3 linked regions of the Lonchura striata genome follow. The protein of the gene in region 1 purifies or fractionates together with the protein of each later gene. This does not show direct contact. Links are inferred from orthologs where the notes say so. Each region holds a gene or a part of one and is shown in the gene's direction. Other genes may lie near its edges.

Region 1 (7,960 bases):
GCACCCCAACCCTGCCCGTCGGCCCCCCAAAACCACCCCGCGTCCCCCAAGGCTGGACACGGGTGGGTGCTGAGAGCCACGGGTTTATTGGGGGGGTGCAGCCCCTGGCATGGGGTGGCAAGGACAGGGAGGTGCTTGGGGGGGGCACCCTGGGGACAAGGGACAGGGCTGGGGCACCTCGTATGGACACTGGGGACACTGGGATGTACTGGGACAACCTGGGGACAGTCAGATGCTGATGGGGCTCATAGGGGGAGCACTGGAGACTGGGTGGGCAGTAGGAGCCCGACGGGGGTCCCAGCAAGCCCCTCACCAGGCCGTGGGTTGCCCCACAACGAGGTGGACAGGCGAGGGGCTGCCCCATGGCCCCCGGGGCTAGAGGCCGAGGGAGAAGGTGCCCGAGTCGGTGGATTGCTTGTCCCGGGAGCAGGTCCCCAGCGCCCCGGGGGGACAGGCTGAGGGGGTGGCAGGCACGCCGGCCTCTGACACCTGTGGGGCAGGGGACGGGCACTGGGTGAGTCACTGCACTCAGGGGGGCCGATCGAGCCCCCCGGAGGTGTTCCCATCCCCAGGGCACCCTGGCCCCATGTCTGACCTCCTCGAACTTGCGGGCCTTGTAGTGCTCAGCACCCTTGAGGAAGTTGAGCAGGATGATGTCGCACAGCACCGTGCCCTGGGGGCAGCAGCGTTGGGGTGGGGAGGCCCCACACTGTGGAGTACCCCCAGATCCCCACAGAGCCAGGCCACTGTCACCCTGCAGCTGTGCTCTGTCCCCATGCCCCGTGGCCATGGGATTTCACCACTCCGGGGCTGAGAACGTCCACAACTCACCACACCGATGGAGGTGAAAGCAGCCACCGTGTTGATGAGGGTGGGGACGATGCCAAACTTCCCGGCCTGGGGGAGCAGAGCCCTTGTTGGCCGGAGTCCCCGACCCCCTGTGACCCCACGAGTCCCCGACCCCACACGTACGCTGCCATACACCAGGACATCAAAGCGGATCCCAAAGGCCTTGATGAGGGTGCGGCGCTGGGAGCCATCAGGCCAGCGGTAGTATCTGGCATGCCTGCAGTAACATGGGGTCATGGGGACACAGGGACATGGGGACAGGAGCCATGCCAGGCAGTGCACATGCCTGTGCCGTGTCCTGGCCATACCTGAAGTTGTATCCAGGGGCAGGGGTCCGGGCCAGGCTGTCCAGGCGGGTGAAGGAGTAGTGGGGCAGGCAGCGCTCCCAGGCCCGGTCCAGGTCACACACCCACCCGATCTTGATTCCCAGCACCCCCCCCTGCCCCAGCCCCACATCAGCACCACGGACCCTGGCCCCGCGGCACCAAGTCCCCACAGTTTCACAGTTCTGCATCCCATGGCCCTATGCTCCATGTCCTATGAGCCCACATCCCGCATTCTCGTCTCCCCAAACTCCACATCCCCCTGCACCTCATGTCTCAAATCTCCATGTCTGTACACCCCATGTCCCAGTGTCACACATCCCAACCCCCATCCATGTTCCTGTGTCAAAGCCCCACATCATCACTCAGTGTCCCGTTTTCCCGTATCCCTATGTCCTGTTCCCAACATCCCTCATCCCTGCATCCCATGTCCCCATGTTATGCGAGCCCATGTCCCCATCTTCCATGTCCACATCCATCACCCCATATTCCCCCCATCCTATGTCCCCATGTCCCACATCCCATGTGGGATGTGTCCCCAAGTCCCATGTCCTCAAGTCCCACATCCCATGTCTCTGTGTCCCCAGCCCCCATATCCCTATGCCCTTATATCCCAGCTGCTTGTACCCCTATGTCCCCACACACACCCCATTCCCACCCCGTGCCTCCCATGTCCCCTGTGTCCCCGCTCACGGTGGCAGCCAGCGCAGGGAAGTCCTGCCCAGCCAGACGTGCCACGTCCCCCAGGCGCAGGATGGGGCACAGGGGCTGCAGCTGTGGGTGGAAGCGACACCGGCCCAGCTCCACCCCACTGCCAGGGGGTGGCAGGTTGGTCCTGGGGACACAGGGGGACACAGGGGACACGCAGGGATGTGCCATCAGGCAGCAGTCTGGGGTTCATGGACCCACATCCCAATGTCCCCCCACCATCTTGTGCCTGTGTCCTCATGTCCCCTGTCCCCATGTCCCTGTGTTACCCCATCCCTTGTCCTCATGTCCTGCCGTGTTCCCCCTGTGTCTTGTGCCACTCACTTCTCAAAGCCAAAGAGCGGGAAGCGGACGCTGTTCTTGATGAGGAGGGTGAAGTTCTCAGCTTCCAGCATGACGGGGCTAGAGGAGGGGGGTGATGCTGAAGACAGGCAGGGGCCATGTCCCCTGCTCCTCCCCGTGTCCCCCCAGCCCCACTTACACATCAACGGTGTCCACCTCGGGCGGGCACCAGCCCTGGATCTCGCAGGTGCGCAGGGTCGTGTTGTAGGGGACGCAGCGCCCTGTCAGCACCCCTGGGACCCCCGGACTGCTGTCAGCACCTCTGCCAGCACCCCCGAGATCCCAGACCCCCATCAGCACCCCTGGGACCCCCAGACTGCTGTCAGCACCCCTGGGACCCCCGGACCCCCATTGGCACTCCTGGGACCCTGAACCCCCGGCTTCCCGGGCCCCCCTCAGCCCCTTGAGCCCACCGAGGGTCCCTCACTCCTGGTGGTGGCTCCCCCCGGTCCCTCGGCCCCCTCAGCCCCCGTTCCCACCGGGGTCCCTCACCGTTGCTCGTGGCCGGGCTCAGCTCCCGGCAGTCCCGGTCCGCCGAGCAGTGGAACGCGGCTTCGCTCTGCGGGGCGGGGGTCAGCGGACAGGGGGCTCATCGAGGGGTCCCCCCGAGCGCCCCCTGCCCCTCCGCACCTCCGGGCACACGCCCTGCGCCTGGTCCTCGGTCCGGATCTGCTTGGTGACCACCACGAACACCGAGGTGCCCTGCGGGACGTCGCTGTCACACGACCCGCCCGGGGGTGGGGAACTGAGGCGGGGGTGGCCCCGCGCCCCTCAGCGACCCCTCCGGTCCCCGTCCTCACCTGGGGGGGTGTGACATAGTCGGCTGTGTCCATCACCTGCCCCGCGTAGCGACCCACGCCCTTCACCTTGGTGACCACGGAGGACTCGATGGCGGTGTCCCGCACCTGGTACGCTTTCTCATGGAGGAACACCCAGCTGGGACAGCACCGCGGGTGACGCTGGGGACAGCCATCCCCGGACACCACCGGCACCCCCCGGGCCCCGCCGGCCTCCCCCGGCACCCCCCGGACCTGCCCGTGACCCCCGGCCCCCGGAGCTGTCAGCGCCAGCGGCTGCCGATCCCCGACAGATTCTTGTCATCCCCTCGCCAGTGGCTGCTGTCACTCCTCGGGAGCATCCAGGGACAGGGACCCCAACGCGGGTCATCCCCTTCTGTCATCCCCTGGGGCCGAGCGGCTTCTCTGCCGCTCGGTGTCACCCACACTGTCCCTTTCCCGTCATCCACCCGAGATGCTGTCCCCCTTGTGTCACCCGTAACGACACCTTGCTGTCCCCATCATGTCACCTGCGCTGCCACCCTCCCGTCACCCGCACCGGCACGCTCTCTGGCTGTCCCCCTTCTGTCACCCGCACCGATATCCTCTGTCCCGCCTTGTCAGCCGGTACACTCCCCTGGCTGTCCCCATCGTGTCACCCGCTCCGGCACACCTGAATTCCCGGCACTGACACTTTGTCACCCGCTCTCCCGTCCGTCCCCTGCTCCATCACCCCCTGGCCACCCCGTCACCCCGCGCCGCCGGCCGGTGTCCCCTCGCTGTGACCCCGCTGCCACACGCCGCCATCCCCCATCACCCTTGTCACCCCCGGTGTCACCTGCAGCAGCAAGTGGCAGTCACGGCGCTGCCGCGGTGCCGGGAAGGGGGCTCGGGGTTGTGTCCCGGGGGACGTGCCGGGGCGGGGTGTCCCAGGGGTGCCCGCCGGTTGTCCCGGCGGCTGCCAGGGGGGCTCACCCGATGAAGTAGGCGAGGATGAGGAGCTGGACGCCGCGGTTGACGACGCCCACCACCCAGCTCTTCACCACCACCGACTTGGTGGTCTCGTAGGAGAAGAAGTTGCTCACCCAGCGGGTGCTGGACCGCGGGAGGGACATGGGCAGCGCGGGGGGCGGCCGGAGACGGGGTTACGGGCAGGGCAAGGCAGGGCTGCGGGCAGGGCAAGGCAGGCAGGGCTGCGGGAACCCAGTGGGATGCGGGAAGGGCAGGGCAGGGGTGCGGGCAGTGAGGGGGATGCGGGCAGGGCAGGGCGCGCTTGGGTGCAGGCAGGGGTACCGGCAGGGGCACGGGCAGGGTGCGGGTATCGGCAGGGTGTAGGCAGCACCCGCAGGGGTGCGGGTAGCGAGGGCGGTGCGGGCGGGCGGAGGCGGGGGTAGGGCGGGGGCCGGGGGCGGGGGCACGGCCCGGGGGGACGGGAGGGGTCGCTCCCCCGTTCCTGGAGGGATGGAGGGGCGCAGGCGGGGACATTCCCCGGGGTGCCTGTGATGGGGAGCGCCAAAGGGGGGACACATTCCGGCAGCGGGGAGCCCCACATTGGGGTGCACGTGGGTGGTGCGCCCCAAACTGGGAACGCCTGGTTTGGGGGGGACACCCCTGCAGAGGGGAGTGCGAGGGGGCGGCCCGTGCGCGGGTTCCGGGGGTGCCCCGCTCTGGGCCGCCCCATTGTCCGGTTCCGACACTTTGGGGCGCCCCGGCTTTGGGGCGGGGGGGTTGTCCCCACATGAGGTGACGTCACGGGGCTCGCCCCGTGCTGGCCAATGGGGTCTCTCCCCACGCCTGGTTCTGGGCGGGGCAAAGCGGCGAGGGGCGGGGTCTCGGACGCGGTGACCACGCCCCCTAGGTGGGCGGGGCCGCCCGCGGCGCGGCGGGGAGCGCCGCACGGGTCCGCCCCGCCGCCAGGGGGCGCCAGCGCGGCCCGGCGCCATGGCGGAAACCCGCGCGACTTCCGGCGTTGGCGGCCCCGCGCGGTTCGCGCTGCGCAGGCGGGAAAAGCGGCGGCGGCGGCGGCGGCGCGGGGGGGCCGGGTGGGTGTACCGGGGCTCGGGGCCGGCCGGATCCCGCGGGGGGCCGGGTGGGTGTACCGGGGCTCGGGGCCGGCTGGGGCACCCGGAGTCATGGCAGGCCGGCTGGGATGGGGGAGCGGCCTGGGGTGGAAGTGGGCTGGGGGTCGCTGGGGAGGCCCGGGAACGCCTGGGAGCCCCGGCTCGGCAGGAGTTTGTGGGTGCGGGGGTGGTTTGGGGTGGCCTCATCAGGGAGGGGAAGGGCAGGGGTGATGACACAGCGGTGGCCGAGGGCTGCAGGAAGGGGCGGCTTTGGGACCACGGCACAGCCGGGGAAGGGGCGAGTTGTGCCGGGGGTCGCCCCCGTCAGTGAGCCAGGTGCCACCACGAGAGGCAGCCTGCGGGGCTGAGGCGGTGAGGTTTGGTTTTGGGGGCGCTGGGGAGGGCCGGGAGCCTGTCGCCAGCCCGGCTCACCCCCTGTCCTCCCGCAGCTGCCGTGACTGACTCCTCTGCCGTTGCCCCGGGCATGCCGGGCTCGGGGGGCTGCTGAACCCCCCGACTCATCCCCGTCCCCTCCCATAGCCCGCAGCCGCCATGGCTGATACGCTGGAGTTCAACGAGATCTACCAGGAGGTGAAGGGCTCCATGGTAAGCGAGAGAACATGGGGATGGCCCTAGGGGCACTTCCAGCGTTGGGTGTGGATGGGGGAAGTGAATGCTCTGTGATGAGGAGGGTGTGGGAGATGAAATTGTGGCTGGTTGGTGGTGTGGGTGCCTGGAGGGGCGCACCCAACAGGGCCATGGTTCCTCTATGCTTCCATGGGACTGAGTCCCCTCATGCCCAGCTCTCCCACAGAATGATGGGCGGCTGCGGCTGAGCCGGCAGGGCGTCATCTTCAAGAACAGCAAGACAGGGAAGGTGGACAACATCCAGGCCTCAGAGCTGGCTGAGGGTGTGTGGCGGCGCGTGGCACTGGGCCACGGCCTCAAGCTGCTCACCAAGAACGGCCACGTCTACAAGTATGACGGGTTCCGGGAGTCGGTGAGTCCCTGTTCCCTGCTCCTGCTGCCCTGGCCCTGTTCCAGATCCAGTTGTGCTCCCTGCCAGCCCCAGAACAGCCCTGCCCCCTGCATCCCCATGGCCAGGGGCTGTGTGTCACCTGGGGCACTGGGCACTGCTGGTTCCTGACGGTGTTGCCTCCCTCTTGCCCAACCCAGGAATTTGACAAGCTGTCAGATTTCTTCAAGGCCCACTATTGCCTGGAGCTCGCAGAGAAGGATCTGTGTGTGAAGGGCTGGAACTGGGGCACAGTGAGGTTTGGAGGTGAGTTCCAGTGGCACCCCAAAGGCGTGGGGTGGGATGTTCCCACCAGTGTGTGGCTGTTCTGCTGCCACATCCATTCCCTTAGGAGCAGCTGCTTTCTAGGGATGTCCTCAGGGAAAGTGAGGACATTTGCCATCTCAGGAGAGCCCTGAATACCAGGGGGCCATGCTTGGTGTGGAATCTGCACATGTGTGCCGTTCACCAGGGAGCCAGGGGAGCTGGCGGATGTGCCTCCAGCTAAGGGACCGGGACAGATGGGGTCAGACAGTTCCTTTTTTTGTGTTTCTGATCGGTGCCAATTTCCAGGGATGCTGCTGGAAGGGAGAAAGCCTGGAGCTTTTGGAGGGTGGGAATGCAGTGATGAGAACAGAGGCACTGCTGGATTTTGGGAGAGGAGCGAGGCCGTGGCTGGAGATGGGATTTGTGGGGCACAGCTCTGGGCTGGCTGTGATGTCCCTGTCCCCACAGGGCAGCTGCTGTCCTTCGACATCGGGGAGCAGCCGGTGTTCGAGATCCCGCTCAGCAACGTGTCCCAGTGCACCACAGGCAAGAACGAGGTGACGCTGGAGTTCCACCAGAACGATGACGCCGAGGTCTCACTCATGGAGGTCCGGTTCTACGTGCCCCCCACCCAGGAGGATGGTGTGGACCCCGTGGAGGTACGTGGGGCCGGCAGGAGGGTGGGGGTTGGCAGCGAGGGACCCTTTGTGACCGCTTCCCTGGCAGGCCTTCGCCCAGAACGTGCTGTCCAAGGCGGACGTGATCCAGGCCACCGGAGACGCCATCTGCATCTTCCGGGAGCTGCAGTGTCTGACGCCGCGCGGGCGCTACGACATCCGCATCTACCCCACCTTCCTGCACCTGCACGGCAAGACCTTCGACTACAAGATCCCCTACACCACCGTGCTGCGCCTCTTCCTGCTCCCGCACAAGGACCAGCGCCAGATGTTCTTCGTGGTGAGTGGGAATGGCTCAGCCCTCCCCCAGAAGGGCATTGGGGGTGGTTTGGGGGGTTTCGTGTCTTCACCTCCTCTTCTCTTTCCAGATCAGCCTGGACCCCCCGATAAAGCAAGGCCAGACCCGCTACCACTTCCTGATCCTGCTCTTCTCCAAGGATGAGGACATCTCCCTGACCCTCAACATGAATGAGTGAGCTGCCTGATGCCACACTGCTTCCCAGACCCCTTGCTGGATCCTGAGGGAGCTACTTACACCCCAGACCCTGTTCTCACCTCTGCCCTCCTTCCCGCCTCACAGGGAGGAGGTGGAGAAGCGCTTTGAGGGGCGGCTCACCAAGAACATGTCCGGGTCCCTCTACGAGATGGTCAGCCGGGTGATGAAGGCACTGGTGAACCGCAAGATCACCGTGCCCGGAAACTTCCAGGGGTGAGCAGCTGCAGGGCTAGTCCCTCTCTTTCCACCTCGTCCTCATGGCCTGAGGGAAGGGGCTGTCTGTGTGATTTGTGCTGGGGAGCAGGGCCAGTCTGCCAGGGCTGGGCACGGGGAGGATGTTTGTCCCCATGGATAGAAGCGTTTGTCCTGCAGACACTCCGGAGCCCAGTGCATCACCTGCTCCTACAAGGCCAGCTCAGGGCTGTTGTACCCGCTGGAGAGGGGCTT
Region 2 (7,576 bases), on another chromosome or scaffold:
GGGTGATTGTGCTCAAGGATGTCAGACACACCTCGCCCTGCTGTGGTTTGGAGTGGCTGGGGATGTGTATGTGTACAAGACAGTAAATCTAATGCTGGAGTCCCTGCTGTGGTATCAGAACAAACAGGTCTCAGTGATTGTGCTTTTGTTTCTTTGTTTTAGTTTGGTTTGACTATGAATATTGCAGTTTTCTTTCTGAATCTCTTTTTGGATCTAGTCTGGACTCTCAGTGGTTATGGCTTTTTCTGTTCTGCTAAGTCCTCCTATGAAAGTAAACACAGAATCTCTTATTCATCATTTATCTGGGCTTTGTTTCAGTGTGTACTGAAACTTAAACTGTTCTCTTGAGACGGGGACAAGGCTTGAGACTCAAGACTGAGCCACTGGGTGAGGTTCTCCAAGGTGTGGTGAGCTAATCTATCAGCCTGCTGCTGCCAAAAGGGACAGGACCACACAGGGAAAGGAAAGCAGGGGAGCCAGGCTTCTCTTTCTGGATAACCAGCTCTTTCATCAGCTTAGCCACGTGTGGTACTGAAGCCTGAAACTACGGGTCTTGTCCAGCTTACACTGCTGTAAAGGAATTTTCAGGTGATAAATGCAGGCAAACAGAGCTGTAGTTTGAGTTGGTGTTGTTTTCTCAGTAACCATGAAGACTTGTCAACAAGGTTACCTTCTGTAATAGTGAGATCATTTACATTGTGCAAAAGCCTTCTGTTCTGTCATTTAATATCTTTAAAAATCTAAGATGGAGATTGGATGAAATTCTGGAGTCAGAGAAACAAAATCACTTGATGGCAAGAGTTGAATCGTGTATAACTGTGACATGTGATGTAGAGTTAAGAGTCTGTCCACCCAAAATTACCTGATGTAATACAATAAGTTTTGCCCAGAATTCAAAGGCAGAATTTTGCTAATATTATTGGAAACTTTATCATTGCATTGTCTAATAAGAAAATATATTTTATTTCTTCCTCCAGCTCATTGTTTAAGAAAAATGTCTGCCTTGCTTCCTCATGATTTTTCCCTGTTTCTTTGCCACTTCCCTGTTTCATGTGTTTTTTCTGTTCTCCATTTTGTATGCACTTGTCAGCAGAGCCACCCTGACAGTGAAATTATGGAGGGGGACACAGCTCTGTAATGTTAATGTGAGTCCCCACGGTCACTGTTCACAGTTCAGGGATGTCAAAAGCCTTACTTATATTTGGGTTGTGAATAAAAAAAAAAAAAAAAAAAAAAAAAAAAAAATCACCAACATGCCAGGAATTAAAAGGGGGAAGAAGGAGCACTGGGCGGTGGGGTTAGTCAGAGTTTAGCTACTGGAAATTTTGATTCAAACACATACATGGGAAATATATCATGTAGGTCAAGTCCTGATTTAACCCACTCACTAAATAATTTAATTCAGGAAACATTTGTCTCATTTTGGGGAGGTGGGATAGGTTTGTTAATTTTTGCTGCCCAGATGCAGTGTTTATGTGGTTTTCTTCTAGGTCAGAACAGGAGGAATCAAAATACCATCCCCTCTTTTTTCTGCAGTGTTAATTAGGTCAAGCAACTGATGTATCCAGTGCTCTGTGCTTCTCCAGCTATCAGGTGAACAGCACACAGAGCATTTGTGATTCATCTGAGTGGCATGCAAGGGCACAGAGGTGCCTGCCTGGGATGGATGGTGTGTGCCAGCTCTGGGATAACACCTGTGCCTGCAGAGAGCAAACACAGCAAACCTTGGTGGGCACAGGAGGCCACACAAGAGCACTGCAGAGACACAGGTGGCTGCTTTGGACAGGCAGAAAGTTGGGTGAGTTAGAATCTACTGCAGAACAGCTTGCTGAAGTCAGGCTGAACAGCAGAAGGTAGAATATTTGGCTTGACATTTAAGCCTTCACGTTAAATTATCCTGCCAGTAACTTAAATATTGTCATGGAGTTGAGGAAATGCGGCTGGGTAGATCCCCTTTTGAATTCTCCATTTTTTCACAAATGTAATGGATTGATAATCCAGTTTGTTGCTTTGAGTCCTGTGTTCCTGTTTGGGCAAAGACATCTTTGTGTGCAAGCTGGAGAAGCATCCTGTTGAGTTTTGCAGGAGGGAATGACTTTGTTGTTGTTGTTTTTATTTCTCTGACAGAGTGAGAATCCTGCCAGCGGAGGGCAAAAGCTCCAAGTTTTTTATTTCCAGAGGTTACTGCACCAGCTGTCTTTGGGATGATGGGGGAAGTGAAAAACAGAGATAGCTTGACTTCCTGAAGAACTGGAGCTTATGCCTTTTCTGTCAGTATTCTGCAATAATTTTTAAGCTTGGTAGCTGTCTCAGCCAAGTTTGAATTGGGCAGGTGGCTGGAAATTCCAGGAAAAGCAATTGTTCTGAGTAAAATATTCCAGTAGTTGTCCCACCTAGGGAAAGAATCCAGTCTTGGGTAATCATCCTGTGCTGGGGTCCTACACCTGAACGAGGCAAGAAGGAGAAGAAAACCCTCCCCAAATCTGGAGGAAAGCAGGGTTCCTGACTTCTGCTGCTCATGAAACCACTTGTTTAACTCCCTCACCTTGGCATTGCACAAAATAGTCTAATGCAAGGATATTGACCTTTCAAACTCTTCCCCCATAGAAAAAGCTTCAAAGAATGAAGGTGACACTAAATATTCACCAGTCTCCCTTTAATGCAGGAAGGTGGGGAGCACCCTCACAGAGGTGACTGTTTCCACAGGAGCCCCCTTTGAGGTGAGGCTGCCTGGGAATGCAGCAGGGACCCACAGCAGCTCAGGGGTGTCACCTCCAGCAGTCCCTGTGAGCCCAGTTCCTCGAGGGCTGGAGGTTTGGGCTGTCCTGTGCTCCCATGCCAGCAGGGCCCTCTCGCTGCTCAGGTGGTGTCACCTTGTTATGGGAACTGCATTTGACCACCTTGACACTCTGGCCACCCTTGGCTAAGAGTTATATCCAGATATGAACTTGGATTTTCAAGAAGACTGTGTAGAGTCTCTTAACTGCAGAGAAAACTGAATCCTGGATCTTCTTGGACTGAAAGACAGGAAAAACTGAAGGCCCAAATGGTATTGAGTAATTCTCAAACCACATATGCTTCCCTACATTGTTCTGGACAGTGGCTTCATGCCAAGCTTCTCTCAGCTCTGTTCAAAATGAGTAATGTAAAACCCATGAAAGGCATAGCCCTAATTTTCAGATTCTATTGGCTCTCCTATGACAGCTTTGATTTAAGATGAAATGGATTCCTAGCTATTGGCACCATGAAAGGTCTCCACTGAAAACTTAAAAGGTTTTTTTTTTTTCCTCTTGTTCAGCAAAGTTCCAAATCTTCCCTTCCTATTGCAATGACTGCAGAGTTTAGCACCAGTGGACAAATCAGACATCAGAATGTCAGCATGCAAGTCATGGGTATTCATGCTGCAAAACAAATATCCTGCTGAGAGGAAGTCCAGTCAATCCTGATCTTTTTCCCCATAATGTTGCTCCCACATACACACACAAGGCTTCTGTGTTCAGCCAAGCACAAATCCCTGGACATGGGCTGTGAAGTGACAAAGCACCTGCTTTATAGCCAAATATTCCACCTATACCTCTAAACATCCACAGAAGTCAGAGTTTAAAGGCCTATTTTTGTTAGCAGCCTGAAGTTCTTACCTGACCTAGTTGCAACAAGATCAGTTGTTTTGCATGCAGCAATGTTCTAATGTTCTTCCCATCTGGTGGGATGACACGATGCTTTCCTGGCAGGGCTTGCTGCAGAAACCCAGGCTGCTCTCCCACTGCACTGAACAAGAAGAAACAGATCCTCAGACATGCAGATGATCATGGCCACCTCCTGAAATTCCAAACGGTGCAGGATGTGTCCCAGATGCAACCTGTCACCACCTCGAACTTGGGCTGCCCTGACAGTCCCAAGGGAACCCTGCAAACCGACATCAGGAACCTCGGCTGGGGAGTTTTCTTTCCCAGGGAAAAGTGACATTGTTTGTGCTCAGGGGCCTGTGGCTCTGAGTGGGCTGCAAAAATCTGAAGGGCGAAGGATGTGTCCCAGACACAACCTGCCACCACCTCAGACATGTGCTGTTCTGAGAGTCCCATGCAAACCCTACAAACTGACATCAGGAACCTGGACTGATGAGTTTTCCTTCACAGGGAAAAGGGCTGGTCTTTCTGCCCAGGGGCATATGGCCCAGAGGGGGTGGCTGACTGCAAAAAAATCCGAAAATCGAAGGATGTGTCCCAGACCCCAGCTGCCCCTACATCAAACTGGTGCTGCCCTGACAGTGCCAGCGCACCCTACAAACCGACACCAGGAACGGGCTGGCGAGTTTTCCTCCCAGGGAAAAGGGCCGCTGTTCGTGTTCCGGGGGGCGGGCGCGGGCGGCCAGCGCACGCCCCGAGCGGCCCCGGCGGCGGGTGCCAAACGGAGCCCGCGCCGCGCCCCGCGGCACTACCGGCAGCACCGCCCGCCCCGCCCCGAGCGTGCGCCGCCGCCGCAGCCGCCGCCGCAGCCGCCGCCGCAGCCGCGCAGGGCGGGCGGGGCAGGGGCGGCTCCGCGCCGGGGGCGGCTCCGCACCGGGGGCGGCCGAGCCGCGCGTGCCCAGCCCGGCGGGCGCAGCGCAGGCGCCCGGGGCCGCCGGGCGGTGGCGGCCATGGAGCGGAAAGGTGAGCGCGGCGCGGCCTCCGCCGGCCCGCGGGGCCCCCGCGGGGCCCGCCGCCCTTCACGCCTCTCTCTCCTTCTCTCCCTCAGTGCTGGCGCTGCAGGCCCGGAAGAAGCGGACCAAAGCCAAGAAGGACAAGGCCCAGAGGAAGTGAGTGCGGCCGCGGCTCCTTCGGGCGCTGTCTCCCGCCGCCTCTTTGTTCCCCGGGCCGCCCCCGCGGGGACGGGGCTGCCGGGCCCGGGGGCCGCTCGGGGCGGGGGAGCGCGGATCCCCGGCGCCGGGCCGGTTTCTGGCGGGTTGGGCGGGCACGGGGCGGCCGTTTCGCCGCCGGCTCCGGCCGCGGCTCCGCGGGCTGCGCGGGGAGCGGCAGGCTCTGCCTCCGCTGTCTCTCCCCGGAACCCGGCCCCGGGGTCGCGGTGGTGCTCAGGGACGCAGCTGCGGGTGCTGGTCTGCCCTCGGCTCGGGCTGTGTCCTGGAGGGAGATGGCAGCGTCCCCTCTCTGCAGCCCCCGGGGCGCTTCAGCAGCTGCCGGCTTGAGGAACCAGCTTCTCTCCACTCCCTCCCCACTCTTGATTCTCTTTCCCCCTGAGATTTTTTTTTTTTTCTTGCCGAAAGAATGCCGTGATGTGCTGTTTACTTCGTTCTCTAACTTTGATGCTCTCGTGTGGCTTCTGTCTTACCGCAGGAATGTCACGAGTCTTTATGTGTGGGGAACTTTTGGAGGCAAATGTAGAAATTACAAGAACTCGAGTAAATACTAAACAATGGCTTTCAGCAGGCTGCACTAAGTGCTATGTTCAGTGCTGCTCATGGATTCCTTTCTACAGAAAGGTGATGTCAGTCCTAGAGCTGGTTCTGTATACTCCATAAAATGCTGCTTATTTCTGTAAAATCTCCCGTGACTCAGGATGTTTCTTTCTTGAAGGTGCCTAGGACCAAAGATAGTAAGGCTAAGGCTTTGGGAGTGGGAGTTGGAGGGTTTTTTCTTTAGGCCTAGAGTAATGCTTTCTCAGCCACTTCCTCAGACACATCACAGGGGTTTAAAATATTTTTTTCTTGTTGCCTTCAGCCAAGAGTCAGTGGTTTTGAGATGGGGCTTTTGAAGAGTGAGGAGCCTTAACCAAAGTGTTTGGGAGACGTGCATTATGGCTCCATCCTTTTCCATATGAGTCCCTGGTATACCTTGAAGGTAGCATTAGGACAATTTGTGAACTGCTCTCCTCCTTCTCTAATTTCTGTATGAATAATCCATTGTCTAATTCTATACATGTTATTTTTTTTTTCTTTCTCTAGCTGCAGACCAGCAATACTGATTCTGCCAACAGAGTCCACAGTGCAGCTGGGAAGGCTAATATCTGTGTAGATTCTGAGGTTGCTGAATGATAAATGTTAGGGTTTTTTTATAAGTCTTTTTTAACCACATATTCAGGACAGGTTGAATGCACTGCCAGTTAGCTCTTGATTTTGCCACTAACCTTGATTTGAGTGCAGAGTAATGTTATTTCTCAAATGCTGTGTTTATATTCTTACGCTTTATGCTTCAACTCTTTTCCCTGGTACCATAAATTTATTAGATTGTATCTCAGAAATGAAAGAAACTTGCATGTGCTTTATGCTGTGTAATTAAATGAACTCAGTGTCAGTCTCTAAGTTTAGGTACAGTTCCACAACATTTATTCTATTTAAATAAAAAGCTGCTCTAGTTAAATCTTCTAAAATAGGCTTAACTGGGTTGTTTCATGACTTTTCATAAAATCTATACTTGAAACCACATGCAATGTGCTTTTAATATCTGATGTTCCATGATAGTTTAGATCAAACATGCAATTTTTTTCTGTAATACATTTTTTCTTTACATTTGCAGTAGAAAGCATGAAACAATGAATTTAAAAAGTAGAGTTTAGTGTTCTGAATTATTATATAAAAGTGCAGAGAATGTTCTGAAGGAAGTAAAAACAATTCAAAATATCTTTCATTTTAAAAATGAGCTACAGCTGCTTTTAAACCTAATATCATTAAAAACATAAAAACAAATAACAAAAAACCCCCAAACATTAAAAGAAATTGGAAAATTACTTATTTTTTCATCATCCAGTAGTTAATATTGCTGTTTGCTTGGTTTAGACGAGACTAGTCTAAACTGATGATTTACAGAAACACCTTGTAAATAATAATTATGATTCCGTGTCTAAGCTTTTTTAATAGGAAATGAATATATGTTTTTGAAATGAATATATATTTTTATAGGAACGTCAATCACGTTCTTATTTTTCTGCCAAATCAGGATGATCCTATTTCTTTCACTCCTTCCTGTCTTAAAAGTTTCATTTTATATCAATGAAGTAGAGCGTGCATTTCTCCTAACACTCTCCTGTAGAAAGAGAGCAGGCAGAGGTTCTTGGAATTCTGAAGGTGAGATATCTGTAATTTCCATTGCCCTTGTAATTTTTTTCATTCAAATACAGAAGTGATTATCAAACCATGACAGGACACAACTGAAATTTACTGGTTTCCATAGAAATCCCTTGGTTTGTGATAGCTGGACTATCAGCCAGTTCTACAAACAGCTTGTTAAGTGCTTGTGTGGGGGAGTGGGGATGGGAAGAAAGAAACTTGATTGCCTGTTATTTGTGTTTTAATACCTTTCTTATATGAAAGCCAGTACTTATCTTCAAACTGAGCTCCCACAGATCTGCTAATCAAAAGTGTGTCTTGGTGCCTCTGAGTAGTTGTATTTAAAAACTAAATGTTTGATCATCTCCAGTCTTCTAAATTCTTGGCAGTGGTGTTCCTGTAGCTCTGGGATGAGTGCTCTATAGCAGCAACTATTGTGGATTTGCCTTACTGGCAGAAAACACCAGTTATTTATTCACAAAAATAGGAATGCAACAGTGAGCGAGTTGCAATAATCACAAAATAACATGGATTGTA
Region 3 (7,166 bases), on another chromosome or scaffold:
AGACACACCATGGCACACACGGGGCACACACGTGCACACCTGTGCCACCCATAAACATCCCCAGCACACCCCAGACCCCCCCCAGACTCAGCACGGACTCTAATCCTGCCTCTCTCTGCGGCTCACCCAGGGGTGCTGCTATGGGGAGCACGGGTGCAAACCAGGGCACCTCCCCTTCCCCAGCACCGGCTCATGGGGGTCCATCAACAGGTACCAGACGGTGAGTGGCCAGGGGAAGGGGTGCCCAGGGACCCCAGCCCAGCCCTGGGGACGTGGTTCACCCCACTGGCAACCCCACGGGACGGGGTTGGAGGAAGGAGAGGGGGAGAATGGAAAATGGAGAGAGAGGGAGGATGGAGATCAATCTCAGTCTTCCTTTGCAGGATGGGAAAGATGAACCAGAGATTTATGGAGCGATCATCCCTCATGTGAGAGTCCCTGCCTGGCCGGGGTCTGCGCTGCCCCAGCCAGGGACATTGAGCCCTGGGAGGGGACAGGAGTGGGAAGCGTGGGGGACATCAATTGGGTGTCAGAGCTGCCCCCCTGAACGGCAGCACCAAAACAGCCAAGTTCAATCTCCACACTGCTCTACCACAGGGTCTTCGAGGTCCCCCTGGGAACCCCGGTCCCCCTGGGCCCCCCGGCCCCCCTGGCCCACCAGGTCTCCTCTACCTCAACGTAAGGCCCAGCACTGGTGTGCACACGCCTGTGCCAGAGCACACACACGTGTGAGTGTGCACAGCACCAGGGCCCCCCCAAACCTGCCTGTCTTTGGTTGCAGAGGATGCACCCCGTGCATGCCCAGCAGCCCTGCAAGCAGCCGGTAAGCCACGGCCTCGCTGCCCCAAGAGTGTCCCCATCTCCTCCCTGTGCATCAGGAGGGGTGTCCCTCTCCCTGTGCCCAGCAGCAGACACAGACTCTGTTTGCCTTCACAGGCACCTGCAGATCGCAGCTGGCCATCAGGTGAGGAGGTTTCCCAGGTGTTTTGGGGGCTGCAGCCTCCCTGGAGACACTTTTCCTAAAGTCTTGCCTCCCTTCCTTGGGTGCCGGGACCGTGCAGCACGGGTCCCTGGCACCACTGCTGGCTCTCCCACCCACTCCCACCGCATCCCTGTGGGGCCAGTTCCCATGGGAGCATCCAGGCCCTATGCTGGGACACCTTGTGACCCCCCACCATCTCTGGGCTCTGCAGATGCTGGTGCCCCTCAGACAGAGCCATCGGACTCCCGCGCTGATCTCCGGGTGCGTCCAGGCTGCGGCCCCAGGCAAACCCCCCCCAGCTGCCCCGTGCCCCACAGCAGGAGCCTCACCCTCTGCCTTCCCCCAGCGCCAGACGTGGGTTTTCAAGTCCAAGGAGCTGATGGTGAAGGCGAGCAGTGCTGTGCCCGAGGGGAGCCTGGTCTATGTGCGGGAAGGGAGCAACGCCTTCCTCCGGACCCCCGCTGGCTGGAGCCGCCTCCTGGTACCGTGTGGGGTCCCTGGCAGGGCTAGGGGGGCAGGATCCAGGGCTGGATTTGGCACTAGGGCAGCAGATCCTCAGGAAGGAGAGGATTTCCCCTAACCTGTCCCTCTGCTTGTGTCATTGAGCAGCTGGAGGATCCGAAGTCGTTCTTGGCTGGTGATGACCCTTCTGCCTCCACCCCGCAGTACCAGGTGAGGGGTGCAGGAGCTGCTGGGTCCACTCATGTCCCTGTAAGGTGACAGAGCCCTTGTCTGCATGATGAAGTGGACAGACCTCACAGGACTGTTTTCTCCTTCTTCTTCCACCTCTCCATCCAGGAGGTGAAGAGGGTGCAGCCAAGAGGTCCCAACACGCTGTCACTCATGCAGTCTCCAACAGACTCACTGGTGAGCCCTGCTGAGGGTCTGGCCATGCTGGGAGGGATGTGCATAGCATGGGCTGGATGTCAGCAGGGCAGTGCCAGCTCAGCATGAGCAGAACATGGGGTTGTGTTGGTCTGGGGAGGGTGCCCCCAAGTCATGGCACATGGATGCGTGTCCCCAGACTGATCTGAGCTGTGTTTTTGCAGATCCAGAAGGAGGAGGAACACGGATTGCCCCAGATTCTGCCAACCACCACAGCCCCACGGATCCCATCTGTAAGGAATGCCTGGCCCCAGGGTGGGGATGAACAGCCAGTCATGGGAGAGGGGGGAGAGGTACCCAGGGGACCCCCAATTCTGGCCAGCACTGCCAGAGGCTCACACCCTCTGAGAAGAGAGGAGCAGAGACCTCCATTCCTCCCTGCCGCCCCCAGCTCCGCCTGGCTGCCCTCAACGTGCCGCTGTGGGGTGACATGAGCGGGATCCGGGGCGCTGACCTGCAGTGCTACCGGCAGTCACAGGAGGCCGGGCTCCACGGCACCTTCCGGGCCTTCCTGTCGGCCCCCAGCCAGCACCTGGTGTCCATCGTCAAGCGGACAGACAGGAGCCTCCCCATTGTCAACCTGAAGGCAGGTACCCCGTCCCCAGGGGTGGCACAGCCTCACAGCCCCCGTGAGCTGCTGTGGGTGGGGGACGCCCACCCAGTCCTGCTGCCGTGCTCAGGGATTTGGGGTGCTGGCAGAGCAGAGAGGATGTCATTGCCCACACAATGCTGGGGACAAGGGGCATTCTCCTGGCCCCTGGCTCAGCACCGTGGCTCGTGCCCACAGGGGCAGCTGCTGGCCAAGTCCTGGAGCTCCCTTTTTGGGGGTCAGTCTGGTGCTGTCCTGCAGAGTCCCATCTACTCCTTCAACGGGCGCAACATCCTGGCAGATCCCCTCTGGTGAGTGTGGACAGGTCCTGGATGGATGGCCCTGTGTGGGAGCTGGAACGGGGGGTCTGTGCTGGCTCCCACCCTGCAGAAGTGCAGGAGCAAAGAGCTGGGGCACCCCAGGGTGCCCCCAGCCCCTCTCACCCTGTCCCCACCCACAGGCCCCACCGGCTAGCCTGGCACGGCTCCACGCCACGGGGTGGCCATGCCCACCGGTGGGATTGCCAGGGCTGGCGCAGCTCTGGCTCAGCCGAGGGCATGGCCACTGCCCTGGGCGAGGGCCGGCTGCTGGCCGGCCACCGCCACAACTGCTCCATACCGCTGGCCGTGCTCTGCATCGAGGTGGCTTTTCCTTACCGGCACATGTGGTGACAATGGTGACACGCAAGCAGGAGCTCCAGGCATTCTTCCAGGCCTGTGTGGCTGGGGAATGTCCCCGGGAGCACCATGGGAGGTGTCGGAGCTGTGTCGGAGCACTGAGGGGACACCGGGTGTGCAACCAGACTGTGCCATGCCCAGCTCCAGCTGCGCCATCCCACAGATCCCCGTGCCATGGGGCAATGTTAGGCTGTGCCTCCAGCCTCCTAAACCCACTGGAGTCAACACGGTCACCACCCAGAAATAAAGATACAAAAATGTTGGTTTTTATGACACCATGCTTTGTTCTGGGGGCACATGGCAGCAAGGGACTGAGGGGACACACCCGGGAATGGGAACAGGGACTGGAAGGGCTGGGAGCAGGCTCTAGTCCCCTGGGGATTGGCAGTAACTGGGAGGGGACACCCTGGCACAGGTCTGCATGTCAGCAAGGTCTGTTTTGGTCTCAGAACACAGTGTGGTCCAGTATATCCCAGCCAAATCTTGCTAAGTGTATTCCTGTGGGTTCCTGAGGCCCTCCCAGTGTATCCCAGTGGGTGTCCAAGGGGTTGGGACATTTTGTCCACTGAAACCCAGTGATTCCAAATGTATCCCAGTGCATGTCCAGGGTCTGCCCAGTATCCCATGTCCAATGGGTCTGTCCAGTGTCCCAGTTCAATAGGTCCCAGTGAATCCCTGGGGCTTGCCCAGTGTGTAGCAGTACCCCAGTGGGTCCACAGGGTCTGTCCAGTGTATTCCAGTGTGTGTCCGGGGGTTCCCAGTGTGTCCCAGTGTATCCCAGTGTATCCCAGTATGTCCCACCACCAACGGCAAACGGGAACCTCCGGCACCCTCCCTGCCGCTTCTCTATTGGTCCATCCTGCTGTCCATCTCATCGCTCTCCCTCCCGACTGGCCGGTTTGAACGCGCGGTGCGGCCTCTGATAGGTCAGAGGGCGGGCAGAGTTCCAGCCGTGTGCCCGTCCCCGCACTGCGATTGGCAGAGCGCCGGGGGCCGCGAGCGGGGATTGGCCGCGCGTTTCGGCGGGACGAGCGGAGGTTTGAAGGGTCGTTGGCGCCGCCATCACCGCCTCAGCCGCTCTGGCCGCCGCCGCCGCCGCCATGGAGCTCTCTCAGCCCTCGTCACCTCTCCGGGTGCGTCCTGCCACCACCGCTGCCCCCGACCCTGCGGAGCTTTGTGATCCGCCTCCATACCGTCCCCTCGAGCCCCCCTCAGCCCCGCCGGGCACCCGCAAGTTCGCCCTGTCCCCCCCTCAGCGTTTCCCCGGGTCCTTCTCAGCCCCCTCCTTGGGTCTCCTTCAGGGTATCCGCAGGCCCCTCTCTCGGCTCTTTTCCCAGCCCTCCCGCTCCTGCGCGATTCCGATGCTCTTCCCCGCCTCGGCCTGGCCCCATGCGTTGTCCCTGTTCGCCCCCTCACCGCCGCTGCCTCTCCCCCACAGCCCGCGAACGAGAACATCCCCGTGGGCAAGGCCGATGGCCCCAAGAAGCTCACGGTGGAGCACATCTACCAGAAGAAGACGCAGCTGGAGCACATCCTGCTCCGGCCAGACACCTACATCGGCTCCGTGGAGCTCGTCACCCAGGTGGGAGCAGGGGGCAGCGGGGCTGAGCCCCCCGAGCACCTCGGGGCAGGCGGGGAGCTCTTAGCAGCTGTTTACAAAGCACAAAACATCTGCTTATCAATCACAAAACAACTGCTTTACAAACTGATGCGCACGGAAGAGGGGTTGTATCTGGGCACTTACAGATTCCTTCTTTTTTTCCCAGCAAATGTGGGTTTTTGATGAAGGCGTTGGCCTCAACTGCAGAGATGTGACCTTTGTGCCTGGCTTGTACAAAATCTTTGATGAGATTCTGGGTAAGCTGACATCCATTGAGTCAGTGAATGACGGGTTATTAACGGATATAAATTAGTAAGAACTTATTAGCACTGCTTAATAGCAAGCCATTCATTTGAAACAAAGAAAAATTTCAAAAATCTAATTACAAACCTGCCCAAAATTCTCCTTTTTATGTCAATGGTTGCACTGAAGGAATTCAGAGGTCATTTCCAACCTTCATAATTCCATGATAACTTGCACTCCTCTTTGTAATTTGCAAAATATTTTCATGCTGAGATGATTATTAGCAACACTGTAGTGACTTTTTATGTTCATTCTACTGGAACACTTCATAATTCATCATTTTCCCTTGATTGAGAATGTAATAAAAAAAAATATTCTCTTTCCTTCCTAGTGAATGCTGCAGACAACAAGCAGAGGGATAAAAACATGTCATGCATTAAAGTCACAATTGATGTGTAAGTTTGGTTTCATTGTTGTTGGTTGCCTTCAGCTGTTCTGCAAAGCTGAGGTGGCACTGCAGGGCTGTGGGGCTGATCTGAGATAGCCCAAATTTAATTCACCAGTTGTGGAAAGCCTTTCTCTGTGCTTATTCCCCTGGTCTCTTACAGAGGCCTGACTGGGGAAATGGCTGCTCTTTCGTTGCTGTGGTTTTCCACCTCTTCCTCTCTCTTTTCACCCTGATTGAGCACAGACAGGGGGGTTTTGTGTGTGGGTCCATTTCAGAGCCGGCATGTGCAGATCTGGGCATTTCTGTGTTGCCTGTCCCCCCTCTGCTGGCAGCTGCTGCACTTGCTGAGCACACATTTGTTCCTGGTGAAATGGTGCCTTTTCCTCAGAGCCTTTTGGTGACTTCTTTCACAGCTCAGCCATTTGCAGCCTTAAAAACAGACTTTTCTTTCCCTCCCCAGAGAGAATAACACAATCAGTGTGTGGAACAATGGGAAAGGTATCCCAGTTGTTGAACACAAAGTGGAGAAGGTCTATGTGCCTGCTATGATCTTTGGACAGCTGCTGACATCCAGCAACTATGATGACAATGAGAAGAAAGTCACAGGTGAGGAAGGCTCTGGTATGCACTAATACCTCTGAGCAGCTCTAAGTGTGTGACCTGAACTAGAAAGGGCAGGAAGGGAGTCCTTAATGCAGTCTGAAAACTGAACAAGGGGAAATTTAGATGAGATATACAGAAGACATTCCTCTCTGTGACGGTGGTGTGGTTCTGGCACAGAGAAGCTGTGGCTGCCCCACTCCTGGAAGTGTCCAAGGCCATGTTGGACAGGGCTTGAAGCAACGTGGGCTAGTGGAATGTGCCCTGCCTACAGCAAATAGTGGGACTGGATGGGCTTTAAGGTTCCTTCCAAACCAAATTATTCTATGATTCTATGAAAATGATGTTCTGAATCTATCAGAGAAGTCTATGTGCTCTGTTTAACATAACAACAGTGCAAACATGGGAACAGGGAAAATGGTCTTTGAATATTCTCTTAAACCCTAATTAAATCAAAGTTTGTAATTGCATACTAAGCTTGTAGAATATTGTTGCTTCTTGACAGTTGTCTTAGAATTGGGTGGACATTGACAAACTCCAGTTAGTCTTGGATTCTCTTAGATGGTTTTGGACAAAGAGAATAACACAAGTCTGTGTTCCTTCTAATTCCAGGGGGGAGAAATGGTTATGGAGCCAAACTGTGCAACATATTCAGCAAAAAATTTACTGTGGAAACTGGATGTCGTGAATACAAAAAGTTGTTCAAGCAGGTAGGAGCACTTTTCTTTCCAGGGAGTTTATAACTGAGGTTTTCAAATGAGATCCTAAGGTTTTGTTTCAAAACTAGTTCAGTGTGATTAGAGTAAATTTGACCCACAAAATGTAATTCAAAGGAATAAAGAAATTAGCAGACAGCATCAGAATCTGGTTTTTAACCAGAGTTTTTGTTTAATTCAAAGATATCTAAACCACATAAACCATCTTACTGCTTTTAAAGACTAAGGTAGTTATGTGTGTGTTTGACTTGAAAGTCACCAAAGTTCCTTTCCTCAGACGTGGACAGACAATATGGGAAAGGCTGGAGAAATGAAGCTGAAATACTTTGATGGAGATGATTACACCTGTGTCACTTTCCAACCTGATCTGTCCAAATTCAAAATGACTGTTCTGGATAAGGACATTGTAGCACTGATGTCTCGAAG

Evidence for each region. The genes of interacting proteins can lie anywhere in the genome.
Region 2: the proteins of SSRP1 (region 1) and SRPK1 fractionate together in Homo sapiens (co-fractionation; 3 studies listed by BioGRID and IntAct, with this or other methods). This does not show direct contact. The link is inferred for Lonchura striata from reciprocal best matches to the Homo sapiens genes SSRP1 and SRPK1.
Region 3: the proteins of SSRP1 (region 1) and TOP2A fractionate together in Homo sapiens (co-fractionation; 3 studies listed by BioGRID and IntAct, with this or other methods). This does not show direct contact. The link is inferred for Lonchura striata from reciprocal best matches to the Homo sapiens genes SSRP1 and TOP2A.

Annotation. Positions count from the first base shown.
Region 1 is NC_134608.1:53,181,433-53,189,392, reverse strand, and holds the start of SSRP1 (FACT complex subunit SSRP1), read left to right. Parts: upstream 1-4,954; 5' UTR 4,955-5,040; intron 5,041-5,507; 5' UTR 5,508-5,610; coding exon 5,611-5,664; intron 5,665-5,872; coding exon 5,873-6,058; intron 6,059-6,234; coding exon 6,235-6,340; intron 6,341-6,808; coding exon 6,809-6,999; intron 7,000-7,066; coding exon 7,067-7,297; intron 7,298-7,385; coding exon 7,386-7,489; intron 7,490-7,597; coding exon 7,598-7,726; intron 7,727-7,885; coding exon 7,886-7,960. Other genes in the region: P2RX3 (P2X purinoceptor 3), read right to left, coding at 376-489, 596-673, 832-897, 973-1,066, 1,158-1,288, 1,866-2,007, 2,205-2,282, 2,362-2,455 and 4 more. UniProt on the Homo sapiens protein: Component of the FACT complex, a general chromatin factor that acts to reorganize nucleosomes. The FACT complex is involved in multiple processes that require DNA as a template such as mRNA elongation, DNA replication and DNA repair.
Region 2 is NC_134632.1:4,661,392-4,668,967, reverse strand, and holds the start of SRPK1 (SRSF protein kinase 1), read left to right. Parts: upstream 1-4,575; 5' UTR 4,576-4,636; coding exon 4,637-4,649; intron 4,650-4,734; coding exon 4,735-4,795; intron 4,796-7,576. UniProt on the Homo sapiens protein: Serine/arginine-rich protein-specific kinase which specifically phosphorylates its substrates at serine residues located in regions rich in arginine/serine dipeptides, known as RS domains and is involved in the phosphorylation of SR splicing factors and the regulation of splicing.
Region 3 is NC_134627.1:6,903,394-6,910,559, forward strand, and holds the start of TOP2A (DNA topoisomerase 2-alpha), read left to right. Parts: upstream 1-4,165; 5' UTR 4,166-4,233; coding exon 4,234-4,266; intron 4,267-4,571; coding exon 4,572-4,715; intron 4,716-4,899; coding exon 4,900-4,990; intron 4,991-5,367; coding exon 5,368-5,431; intron 5,432-5,884; coding exon 5,885-6,030; intron 6,031-6,636; coding exon 6,637-6,734; intron 6,735-7,017; coding exon 7,018-7,166. UniProt on the Homo sapiens protein: Key decatenating enzyme that alters DNA topology by binding to two double-stranded DNA molecules, generating a double-stranded break in one of the strands, passing the intact strand through the broken strand, and religating the broken strand.